3 linked regions of the Sus scrofa genome follow. The protein of the gene in region 2 interacts with the protein of the main gene of each other region in a pairwise test. Links are inferred from orthologs where the notes say so. Each region holds a gene or a part of one and is shown on either strand. Other genes may lie near its edges.

Region 1 (4,320 bases), on a different chromosome or scaffold from region 2:
AGGCTCTAAATGTAATTACAAACATCCTTTAAGAGGGAGGTGGAGTGAGATTTTAACTATAGAAGAAAAAGGCCATATGATGATTGAAGCAGAGATAAGCAGATGCTAAAAGAGATAGAAGACGCTATGCCACAGGCTTTGAAACAGGATAGGGCCAAAAGCCAAGTAATATTGTTAGCTTCCAGATGTTACACAAGGCAAGGAAACAGATTCCCCTCTGGAGCCTCTGGAAGAAACCAGTCTTGCTGACATTTTGATTTTAGTCCTATAATACTCATTTCGAATTTCAGGCCTCCAGAGCTATAAAGATAAATTTGTGTTGATTTAAGCTGCCAATTTTGTAGTAATTTAGTATGTCTTTATCTGAATTTGATTACATCTGCAAAGACCCTATTTCCAAATAAGGTCGCATTAATATGTACTGGAAATTAGGACTTTAACATGTATTTTGGGGGACACAGTTCAACATATATATATGTTTAAAAAATATAATTCATCTGTGAGTGTTTTAAAACTTTAACTTCTGGGAACTTGTCATTTAATCCTGGAATTGTTATTGCCTCATACAAATTATAAAGTTCTTGGCTGGATTTTGAATTTCAGCAAATCCCAGAGGAAACAGGGAGAGTAGGTGGGTAAGCACTTTGAAGGTAAGTTTGATATGGACCAGAGAGCATTTCAGAATATATATACATAGCACATCACTTTTATAAAATTAGCAAAACGAAAAAGCTATTTTCGCACACACACATATAGCATATGTATGATATTTGAATACGTTCTACAGAAAGGAAAGTAGCAGCAAGGGGGGGGGGTCGGCCCGGATGGCATAGGAACACACAAGATTCTGCAGTATGGTGAGTGCACGGGTGTTTATTACTTTCCTCCATTATTTAATATCTTTTGTACTTATAAACATGTAATAAACCAGTAAAAGAGCAAGTATGAGTTATGCTTTAATGTAAAATTGTGCCCATATAACACAAAAAAATCTTAAATGGCATAGAGATGGTAGAAAATATGCTTGAGAAAGGAGCTCGGTGCCCTAAGCCCAGAAACCTACGTTGGAAAGCGGCATAATCTGTTTCTTCAAGCCAACCTGTCCAGGTGGTACTTGGAAAAGCTGACGGATGACAGAGCACTGAATAAACTCACGCTATTTATGAATCCGTGAGTAAAATAACTTGCGCTTCTATAAAACTCGAGCACCAACAAATCAGGAGGCTCAGAGGACGAGCGAAAGCATTCCCAGAACCACACGATCCACGCTGATCTCTTTACCAGAGAAATCCTTCTCAGAGCAGTCGAGTCTGCGCAGACTCTTGCCCTATTCCAAAATGGCAGCTCTGGCGCCACAACTTTGGTATGGCGCATGTCCGGAAGTTACGCAACCCCATAAGGTACCGCGCTCCTACCCGTGGGGAGAGTTTCCGCCATTTTTGAAAATCGGGAAGGTCCGGGGCTAAGTGGTGTAGCTGCTGCGATGGCAGCCTTTGCCGTGGACTCCCAGGTGCCCACGTTGGGTGAGTGAAAAACTGCTTTTCCTCACTAGCTCTGTGCTACTTGCCGCTTGGAAGCGGGCAAGCTTGGAAGGCAGTAGTCATCGGGGTCTCTTCTGTTAATTTCAGCCTCAAAGGGGGAGCCTCTGGCTCGCCCCAGGTTCGTAGTCCGCCCCCTACCCCGAAGCTTTGCTACCCCGCCGTCACGAAAACGGTTCCAGGAAACTTCGGGCCCCGAGGAGGGCGAGGGAACGGCCGTCTGCGGTGGCTGAACCATTTTGTGCCCCTACGTGCCGGAGCCAGACCTGCCCATACCTGAGACGCCATCAGTGCCTGAGATGCCAAGCTGGGTTCATAGATCCGGGGAAGCGTTGATGGGAAGGAACTCACCTGTGAACACGTGGGTGGGCGGTACTCTGGGGTGTGGTTAGTGTCCTTGGCTGTTTGGTCACCTTAGGCTTGTAGTTCCTGTTTGATTCCTACCTTCTCCCGGGCTTTGCAAAAAGAATCTTTTTAATGGAAGTTTGAGTCGGCGGCATTTAATTAGGCAGGTGATGGCAGCCTTTGAGATATTAGCCTTAATAGGAAGCCAGGAGTTCGTTCGTTTTCCCTCGCCTTTATCTTGGGAAAGTGACTCAGTATTGTAGGAGGTCTCTTCATTTGACCGGTCACGTAATGATTAAAAATCATCACCATTATTTAATGGGGTGCATTACTAAAATGTGTTGTTGAAAAAAATCTCTCAAGTTTTTTGTTTTTGTCTGCTGAGTTTTGGAATTTGGGGGAACGGTCGAAAATTTTAGAACAAAAAATAAACCTATCGTAAGAATATTTGAAAAGTTGGTTACAAACTTTATGAGTTTGGAAAGGAAGGCAAGCACAATATGTACCTATAGAATAAATTTTATTATAGTTGAAGGATATATAATGCTTGCCATGTTTTGTGCAAAATAAGTTTCTTTTGAGAGTAGAGTGACTTGAACTGTTAGTATTAATAATAAAACTAAATGCATAATATCAAGGTAGGTACTCAGCTACATTTAAACTTGTGTACAGATGTTGGTCTAGGTATTTGTGTTTTGTATTATTTTGGAGATCAGAGAGCTTTAATTTCCAGTTCCTAAGTTTTCTAGTCCCCCAAAACATTTTGGAGTGTATATTTCTTGGGGTTACGTATATGAATAATTGGTCGGAAATCTGACATTAGCGGATATGAATGTTCAGGTCCACTGCAAATATTCCAGGCGGGATATAAACATTTTCCCAGCACCTAATGGTACACTGAAACTAAGTTACTTTAACAAACAGTGCTGGCTGAGAAGACTTAGTACTTAACATTTTAGGAGTGCACACTGTGAAATGGTATTTGACTTGAAGGATCCAATGGTATAGCTCAGTGAAATTAGCTTGAGGGTTGGGCAGTTAGTGACAGTTCAATTAAGAGCCCGTTGCCCATTCCTCACTTTAGTGCTTTCTTTTGTATCACAATATATATCTGAATGTGTCAGAAAATTTCCTGACAATTCTTGTTATACTTGCCATATTTGTATGTTTTCCTTTGAGGGCTGGGAGAGTGAAAGTAGGCAGTATTTAAAACTTTGTAATACATTTATTACTATAGGTTTCTAAATATATGTTCAGAATATGCTTTTGTTTAGACTTTAGGTTTGATTTTTAGTGTTAGGTTTTTTAGAAATATGTTATAGTACCATGGTACTTTGTAACGAGCATTTTGAAGTAATTACAATGTAATACAGCTCTTCACACCTTATTTCGGTATTTGCCTTATTCTTTCCCTAAATTTCTTTTCCTTTTTCTTTTTTTGTACACTTGCATTGCTAATATCTAGGTCTACTTTGATGGGAAATAAAGGGAAGATCAAATAAGTGACAGCATTTGGATAGCACAAAACATATTTCTGTGGCTGTTTAGAAGTTAAGGAATAGGGAGTTTCCATCGTGGCTCAGTGGTGAGCGAATCTGACTAGGAACCTGAGGTTGCAGGTTCAATCCCTGGCCTTGCTCAGTGGGTTAAGGATCTGGCGTTGCCATGAGATGTGGTGTAGGTTGCAGACCTGGCTTGGATCTCGCGTTGCTGTGGCTGTGGTGTAGGCTGGTGGCTACAGTTCCGATTAGACCCCTAGCCTGGGAGCGGCCCAAGAAAATGGCAAAAAACAAAAAACAAAAAGTTAAGGAATAGTTAATAAAGGCCATATAAAATACAAATTGTTTGACTTCTCTGAATGCCATGGATCACATTCAGGCTTGTCACATAGTTGAAAAATTAAGTTTTCATAAGCAGAAATTGAAGTTCTCAATGTACATATCATTACTTCAGTTTTGTCTACTATAAAATAATATTAGAATAATAATGAATATTTGGTGCTTACTCACTGTATATAAGGGACTTGAGTATTTTACTTGCTATAATTCTAGTCAGAGCTCTATGGGTGGGTGCTATGATTATGTCTGTTTTGCTGCAAGACTTAAACTCATGTCTCCGACTCCAGAGCTCATCTTTTCCTTACTGTGGTATTTTGTTCTGAAATTAGAGTAAGTTATAGCTTCTCTATTTTCATAGTTGGAGTAATAATAATAGCTACCCTAAGAATTGTGAAGATTAATTTTGAATTGATGATTATGAAATATCAATTCTCTTTTAAAATTGATTTTATATTAGGGAGATTTATATTGGTTTTGGTTATTCCTGATTTTAAAATGAATAATTTTAAAAAATGATTTAGAACATAAACTTTCCAAGTGTTTTCAGTATATTTCTAGTTGGGATACTAATCATCATTATTAGTGTGTTGTACATGGTT
Region 2 (3,647 bases):
AAGTTCTTTTGTATAATTTTTATTAGATTCCACATATTAGTGACCTTATATGATGTTTGCCCCTTTCTCTGTCTTACTTAGTATGATAATTTCTAGGTCCATCCTTGTTGCTGCAGATGGCATTATTTCATTCTTTTCCTCAGCTGAGTAATATTCCATTGTGTATATGTACCACATCTTCTTCATCCATTCCTCTATGTATGGACATTTAGATTGCTTCCATGTCTTGGCTATTGTAAATAGTGTCAACAGTGAACACTGGGGTGCGTGTGTTCTTTCAAATTATGGTTTTCTCTGGATAGAGGCCCAGGAGTGGGATTGCTGCATCACGTTGTAGTCCTATATTTAGTTTTTTACAGAACCTCCATGCTATTCTCCACAGGGGTTGTACCAGCTTACGTTCCCGTCAACAGTGGAACCAAGGTTCCCTTTTCCCCACAACCTCTCCAGCGTTTATTGTTTGTAGACTTTTCAAAATGGCAATTCATCCAGTGAGGTGATACCTCGTTGTAGTTTTGATTTGCATTTCTCTAATAACGATGTTGAGCATCTTTTCATGTGCTTTTTGGCCGTCTCTACCACACCTTCTTAATCCACCTGTTGATAGACATTTAGGTTGTTTCCATGTCTTGGATGTTGTGATGTATATTATTCTTAACAATCCACCTAGTTCCCTTTAAACTGTGCTTGCCTACAGCCCTTCCCCAAAATGCCCCAGCTTGCAACACTTCTCAGAGGTTATGATCCAAGAGAAAAGAGTTGGAGTCTCTGTATCCTGCTATTGAAAGATCGCACACTCTTATTCTGGCAAACAAACTTCCTCCACACTCTACTATTAACTTCATTTACTTAACAAAAAATTTAGTGCCTGTTTTACTCCAGTCTTGGGTGAACAAAGGACCAGCCCTGGTTCACATTTTATGCGGCCCCTTTATCCCGTATCCTGTGGGAACTCAACTGGTTGCTCGGGCTTCGAGTTCAGCTTCTAAGCTACTTTTTATTCACAACTTTGAAAGATCCTGATACTGATACAACTATACAGCAAAGCCACTAGGAACCCTTAGTTACATTTCTAACTGGAGCAAAAACTTCACTCCATGTAGAGTCTCAGCCCCCTACCTGACCAGTTGCGCGTGTATTACACAAGTACCAGACTGCCTGATTTAAAGCAGGACAAAGCAATTCATTGTAACCCAGCTCTATGTTGTTTTAGAATGTTAGTCAAAATCTGGCTTAAATAGTTATTGAAGTTCGGTAAGGTTGGAAGTTGTTAACTTCATATGGTACTTGATGTAGTAAATGTTATAATAAACAGTAAAATGTTTCTGTTTTAAAAACAAACCATTCCTTTAAAAAAGGAGTAATGTCAAAGTTCCCATCGTGGCTCAGTGGTTAATGAATCCGACTAGGAACCATGAGGTTGCGGGTTCTATCCCTGGCCTTGCTCAGTGGGTTAAGAATCCGCCATTGCCTTGAGCTGTGGTGTAGGTCGCAGTCTCGGCTCGGAGCCCGTGTGGCTGTGGCTGTGGTGTAGGCTGGTGGCTACAGCTCTGATTGGACCCCTAGCCTGGGAGCCTCCATATGCCATGGGAGCGGCCCAAGAAAATGGCAAAAAGACAAAAAAATAAAAAATAAAAAAGGAGTAATGTAAAACCAACCTCGTAAAGACTTGCTAAGCTCTTGTCAGGCCTTAACTCATTTCATCCTTATGACAACCTTCTGATACACATGCAACTATTGTCTTCATTTCTCGTGAAAGCCACGGGAGTATAAAGAGGTTAAATCATCTTAAGCTGATTGCTATAAAAGGTCAGAATCTAAATTCAAGTGCAAGTCTCTTAAAAGTGTGGGTCTCTTACAACTCAAGTACTTTAACACAAGATTATCGGTTGATTTCAGTCAGACAAATTTCTCTAGTTCTATGGATAAATTAGGCATTAAGTAAATATTTGAGTCACAAAGAAAAGGATGCTGTTAAAATCTCTCAAAATCTTATATGACGATCTGATTTTTTTTTTTTAGACCTGTTTAGAGTGTGGTGGTTTATAATTTGTAACAAAATTGTATAAGTTGTTTAAATTAATCTGGTGTGTTTACAGGTGGTCGCGGTGTATGGAACTTTATCTGATTTGCTTTCTGTGGCCAGCAATAAACTCGGCATAAAAGCCACCAGTGTGTATAATGGAAAAGGTGGACTGATTGATGATATTGCTTTGATCAGGTAACCTTCACCTTTTTATGAGCTGTCTACAGTGTGCCCTCAGCTTCTTAGTACTATGCTGTTTCCCTTAAGCAGTAGTTTAATAACACTGTTCAGAATACAGGATTTTGGCAAATGATTGTCTACACTTTGCTCTTTGGAATTTAAGTAATTTGGACTTAGAGTTCATTGATGAGTTAGAAAACCCTGAGTACGTTCCAGTATACTCATATCTTTCTACAGGGTTCATATATTTCTATGAGGAATCTCTTTACATTATAATAAGACATACATTTTTAATACTAGAAATCTAACTGATCTCTTTAATTTGAAATGCTATTGCTTATTCAGTTTACTTCCTAAGAATGTTCTGAATTTTGTACCATTACGGACACCTACTTTGGGGAAAACTTGCTAAATAAGATAGAATTTTAAGCAGAGTTAACTCACCAGTCAACCCCACGGTAATGGTTTTGGTTTGTTTGTTGGTTTTGTTTTTTAAATATCCAGTTGTATTTTATAACCAGTATCCACTTCACCTCATTCCATCCTCAGGGGAATCAGAATTTTGAAGCAGGAAGGAGATTAAAGGAGAAGATGGAATGGGAACACAAATTAAGTACTGACCCTGCCAGTTATGTTGTATTTACTTTGCCCAAGTTACCTCACTTATTTGGCAAAACATGGGCTTTTTAAAATTGATGGTGTGAAGATAATGATGTTCTAAGTTACAGCAGTATACAGAGTTTAATTTTCGTTTAAACCCAGGTCAGAATGACCTTTCAGTATAATATACTGCCTTTGAAGTTAATCATTTCTAGTCCCTTTATTTTATTTTTTTATTTTATGGCCACACCTGCGGCATATGAAAGTTCCCAGGCCAGGGATTGAATCCGAGCCATAGCTGAGACCTGTATTGCAGCTGCATCAATGCCAGATCCTTGTAACCCACTGTGCCAGGCTGAGGATCAAACCCATGCCTCTGCATAGACTCAAACTGCTACAGTAGGGTTCTTAACTCACTGTGCCACAGCGGGAACTCCCCCCTTCGTTTTATAAATGAAGCAACTAAACATCTGAGAAGTTAAGTAGTTAAATGAGTTACCCATGTATTATGGTGAGTAGTTGATTTTTGTTAATGAGAGGAAAACAAATTTTCATACTAGTCTTAAAAAGATAACAGGCATGTCGAACAAGTAGGAAAGATTATAGACTTAAAAGATAGAGATATTAAATCCAAATAAATTAGGAGAATTTCTTAGTTTTTTAGTATCTATCTCCCAGCTTCTTTAGGTTTCTATGGATAAGTGTCACATTATTGAATGATTTATATCAACCTAAATTTCTCCTTAGCAAACACAGACTCTGCTTCCAAGAAAAATTCCATATGTTCCTGTGATATCTCAGAAATATAATTTATAGGGAGTTCCCGTTGTGCAGCGGAAAT
Region 3 (4,281 bases), on a different chromosome or scaffold from region 2:
TTAATTTCAAATTCTAATTGTTTACTACTGTTATATAAGAAAACAATTGGCTCATATGTTAAACTTGAATTCTGCTACCTTGCTATAACCACTTTTTTTTTTTTTGGCCAATTCTTTGGGACTTTCTATATAACCCATGCCACCTGTGAACAAAACTAGTTTTATTTCTTCCTTCCCAATCCAATTAAATATCTATTTTATCACCTAGACCTCAGACTCTGAGGGCACAGTCTACATATTACATACTTGTCACCTCTTTTATGCTCAGACTTTTACTAGTTTTGCCCCAGATTAGGTTATTGTGTACTAAATAATTTAGCTAGAAATAAAATGCTTCTAAGGTAATAAATGCTATTTTGTCAAGTGCTCTGTTACTCCATGGTAAGTATGGAAAATTTAGGTAAAGTGTGCCTCAGTGTCTTCACAAGCTAAAGATGTTGCCTCAGTGTTCTGTTTTGCCTCAGCTGGTTAAGGACCCAGCCTTGTCTCTGAGGATGCAGGTTTGATCCCTGGCCTCGCTCAGTGGGTTAAGGATCCAGCAGTTGCTGCAAGCTGTAGGTCACAGGTGAGCCTTGAAACCGGTGTTGCCCTGGTTGTGGTGCAGGCCTGCAGCTGCAGCTGTGATCCTACCTCTGGCCTGGGGAAGTTCACAAGCCAGTACCTGCAGTTGTTAAAAAAAAAAAAAAACCAAACAAACCAAACACAGCAAGAATATCTCAGATAGACGTAAGGATCAAATAAGACTACTGTATACATCAAGTTCTTAGGACATCTTCTGGAACATAGCCCTTAAGAAACAGTTTTTCACTTTTTGTGTTAGGACACAGCTATTGTGCACTACCTCACATAACCCTCAACAACCCGTGAACTTTAGCTCAGACGGGCAGAGGGTAAAAAAAGTCAAACAAGTTGTAACACAAAGAGGGCAGGGGTTGGGAAGGGTTAGAGAGAGGAAGGCTTCAGAGCCTGTAGGTAGAGCGGTCAACCGAGAGGGTGGTGATGAATATGACCACGGTGGTAGAAGTCCAAGGCTGGCCAAGAAATCGCCAAAGGCTAGGGTTTCGGGGCTCCCTGTGTTCGAGGTGATGGGAACCATCATGAATGAGGCAGACGAAGAGTGGCGTCGCTGGTCACGAAGTGCCCAGAGAGGGGAGCAGGTTGGCTGGGGGAAGGGGGGGCTCTACATCCCCAATCTCTGCAATAGTGGGGGCCGCTGAGCCGCCCGCGCCCTGTTACCCTGGCGACGGGGTCACCTGACAGAGCGTTGCGCGCCTGCGCAAGCGGAAGGGGGGAGCGGCGCGGTGACGCGCCTCACAGGCGGTCCTCGGGCGCGCGCCGCCTTCCTCGCTCCGGGTCTCGGAAGTCCGAGTCAGTGACCGGAGGCGGCGGCGGCGATCAGGTACCTACGGCCGGGGTGAGCACCAGGGGGAAAGAGGGGCGCACCCTCGGCGTCCCGGGCTCGGGGACGGAACCGGAGGGGCAGAGTCCCCGGGCCGCTTAGTGGAGGGGCGTCTCGGCGCAGCTACTCGCGTCGACGGCGACGCCCTGTCGTCGGTGGTCTCCGCGCCCCTCCCGGCGCCCGCGGCCCGGGGCGAAAGTTTGCGCGAGCGGCTCCCTTGGCTGCCGGCGACCCTGCGGACTGGGGGCCGGGGCCAGGACGGAGCCCGTGGTCGGCCCGCAGCCCCCCACCCGCGGCCGCCTCGACTCTTTTTGTTCCTCCCGGAGGCGGCCCGGGCGGTGAGGGGACAGCGGCGGCTCCGGTCTCCGGGTCGTCCGGGCGCCGCGTCCCCGGGCTCTTTCTCGGCGACCTCACCGCAGCGTCCTGTCTGGCGGGAGGTAGGAGGCGTCCTCTTGGGGTGAAGCCTTGACTTTGTGTGGGGGGGGGGTGGGGGTGGGGAGGCTGCTCGGGGCCGGGTTTCTGGACAAGCTGGAGGAAGGAGCCGCGGTTCCCGCTCCGCGGCTGCGAAGGAAACGTCCCTTGAGGGCTCGTGACTCAAAGCTTTCGTTTCAGGATTTCCTTGTAATGATGTGAGAGCAGAGCCCAAAGGATATGGAAAGTTTGCCTTTATCACCAAAATGGATTGAGTCATGGAGCCTTATAATGTGCCAACTTCTAAAAAGAAGTGTCTAGCTTTATCTAGTCTGTATGTAGTGTCTGCATAACTTGTGTACTGTTGTTTTTTCCACCATACACAGCTCTTAGTATATGTAGTTCACCAAACTCATAACACCCAGTTGTTTCAAAGGAAATAATTGGTTAAAAAAAGGAAATTATGTGGTAAAACAATCGCAGGCTGGTAATTTCTATCTCAACTATATATGTGATTACTTTAAAATTTGTCCATTCTGTAATTTTTAAAAATCTGAGGTTGAGGACAAACAGTAAGAATGTTTTGTTTTTCCCATTTTCCCTGTGGCCACCGTACTTTATAAACTTTAAATGGCGAGTAAATATTACGGATCATGTGGTTTTTGCTGCGAAATAAAAATAAGGAAATGCCTTTTAATAGGTTCAGGAAATAGTCATTCCGTTACAGTCTCTATTTAACTTTGGCAACAGTAATTTTTGCGATTGGGCGGTAGAAGAAGAATGTAAAAATCATGAGGAAGAACTTACCTGTGGTTGGCAATAAACCTGCTGTTGAAGAGAATAGTTCCTAAATGAACATGACTCACCTGTTGTTTTTCCTGTTTCTGCTGGATTTAGGTTCTTTCTTTTTTAGGTAGTAAATGCCAAGAGTTTCGTAAAAGATAGATTCTCCCAAACAACACCTGTTAACATTTAGTAATAGTTATCTTCGCATTTATTAATTTCTTTGCAAATGCCACCAACATTTTTTTGTCCATTTATTTAGTTTCCGAAGAGGTAACCAGTTAAATGGCTCAACATTGAATCAAAGAGTGGTATAAAGTGTCTCCCCCCAGCCCCTGTCAAGCACTGCTGTTCTTGATATCTTTATGATTTTGACTACTAAGGATCTCATAAGTGGAATCAGTTTTTGTCTTTTATGTGAGTGGCTTATTTCACTTAGCATAATGTCCTCAAGTTCACCCATGTAGTTGTGTGTTGCAGAATTTCCTTCCGTTTTAAGGCAACAAAATTACATTTCCGTGTGTGTGTATTCCACATTTTGCTTATCCATTCGTTTGTTGGTGGAAATTTGGGTTGCCTCCACGTTTGAGTTATCTCTGTGAATAATGCTGCTCTGAACACAGATATAAAAATCTCTCTTCAGATGCAGATTTCAGTTTTGGGGGGAGTATACCCAGAAATGGAATTGCTAGATATATATATAGAATTCTATTTTCAATTTTTTAGGGGAACTGCCACACTTTTTTTTTTATGGCCCCTGTGCCATTTTGTATTTCCACCAACAGTGAATAAGGGTTCAGATTTTTCCACGTGTCACCAACACTTTTTTTTGATAGTTGTCACTCTCGTGGGTGTGAGAGTTGGTATCTCATGGTTTTGATTGGCATTTCCATAATGATTAGTGATTTGAGCATCTTTTCGTGTGCTTGTTGGCTGTTCTATATTCTTTGGAGAAATGTCAAGTTAGGATCTTTGCTGATTTTATGTTTTTAATTTTTATTTTTTGTTTTAGGAGTTCTCTAAATGTTCTGGGTATTAATCTCTTACATCTGATTTGCAAATTTTTTTTCCCCATTCCATGGATTGTCTTTTTACTCTATTAGTATTTTTTTGTTTGTTTGTTTAAGGGCCGCACCTGTGGTATATGGACGTTCCCAGGCCAAGGGTCAAATCAGAGCTGCAGCTGCTAGCCCCAGCAGCACCAGATACCAGCTGCATCTTTGATTTGGCAACTCCCGAATCCTTAATTGCAGCTCCTGGCGATACCAGATCCTTAATCCACTGAGGGAGGCCAGGTGTGGAACCTGCATCCTCATGGATACTAGTTGGGTTCATAGCCACAGTGGGAACTCCCATTGTTAGTGTCTTTTGATGCACAAATTTTAAAAATTTTCATGAAGACCAATATATCTTTTTTCTTTTGGTACCTGTTCCTTTGGTGTCATATCCAATAAATCTTTGCCGAATCCAGCGTCAGGAATCTTTTGTCCTGGTTTAAGAGTTTTTATTGTTTGAGAAAAGTCTTACATTTAGATCCTTTATCCATTCTGAGGTAATTTTTTGTACCTATGGTATTAAGTGAGGGTCCACCTTCTTTCATTTACATATGGATACCCAGTTTTCCCAGCACCATTTGTTGAAAAGACTTGTCTTTTTCTGTCGAATGGTCTTGGCACCCTTGTCAAAAA

Evidence for each region. The genes of interacting proteins can lie anywhere in the genome.
Region 1: the proteins of KCTD9 (region 2) and NUP35 interact in binary tests that used the Homo sapiens proteins (3 or more experiments, as listed by UniProt). The two-hybrid records come from large-scale screens. The link is inferred for Sus scrofa from reciprocal best matches to the Homo sapiens genes KCTD9 and NUP35.
Region 3: the proteins of KCTD9 (region 2) and SDCBP interact in binary tests that used the Homo sapiens proteins (3 or more experiments, as listed by UniProt). The two-hybrid records come from large-scale screens. The link is inferred for Sus scrofa from reciprocal best matches to the Homo sapiens genes KCTD9 and SDCBP.

What each region holds. Positions count from the first base shown.
Region 1 is NC_010457.5:88,586,360-88,590,679, forward strand, and holds the start of NUP35 (nucleoporin NUP53), read left to right. Parts: upstream 1-1,393; 5' UTR 1,394-1,483; coding exon 1,484-1,523; intron 1,524-4,320. UniProt on the Homo sapiens protein: Functions as a component of the nuclear pore complex (NPC).
Region 2 is NC_010456.5:9,504,168-9,507,814, reverse strand, and holds part of KCTD9 (BTB/POZ domain-containing protein KCTD9), read left to right. Parts: intron 1-2,099; coding exon 2,100-2,221; intron 2,222-3,647. UniProt on the Homo sapiens protein: Substrate-specific adapter of a BCR (BTB-CUL3-RBX1) E3 ubiquitin-protein ligase complex, which mediates the ubiquitination of target proteins, leading to their degradation by the proteasome.
Region 3 is NC_010446.5:74,325,631-74,329,911, reverse strand, and holds the start of SDCBP (syntenin-1 CG9291-PB), read left to right. Parts: upstream 1-1,354; 5' UTR 1,355-1,414; intron 1,415-4,281. UniProt on the Homo sapiens protein: Multifunctional adapter protein involved in diverse array of functions including trafficking of transmembrane proteins, neuro and immunomodulation, exosome biogenesis, and tumorigenesis.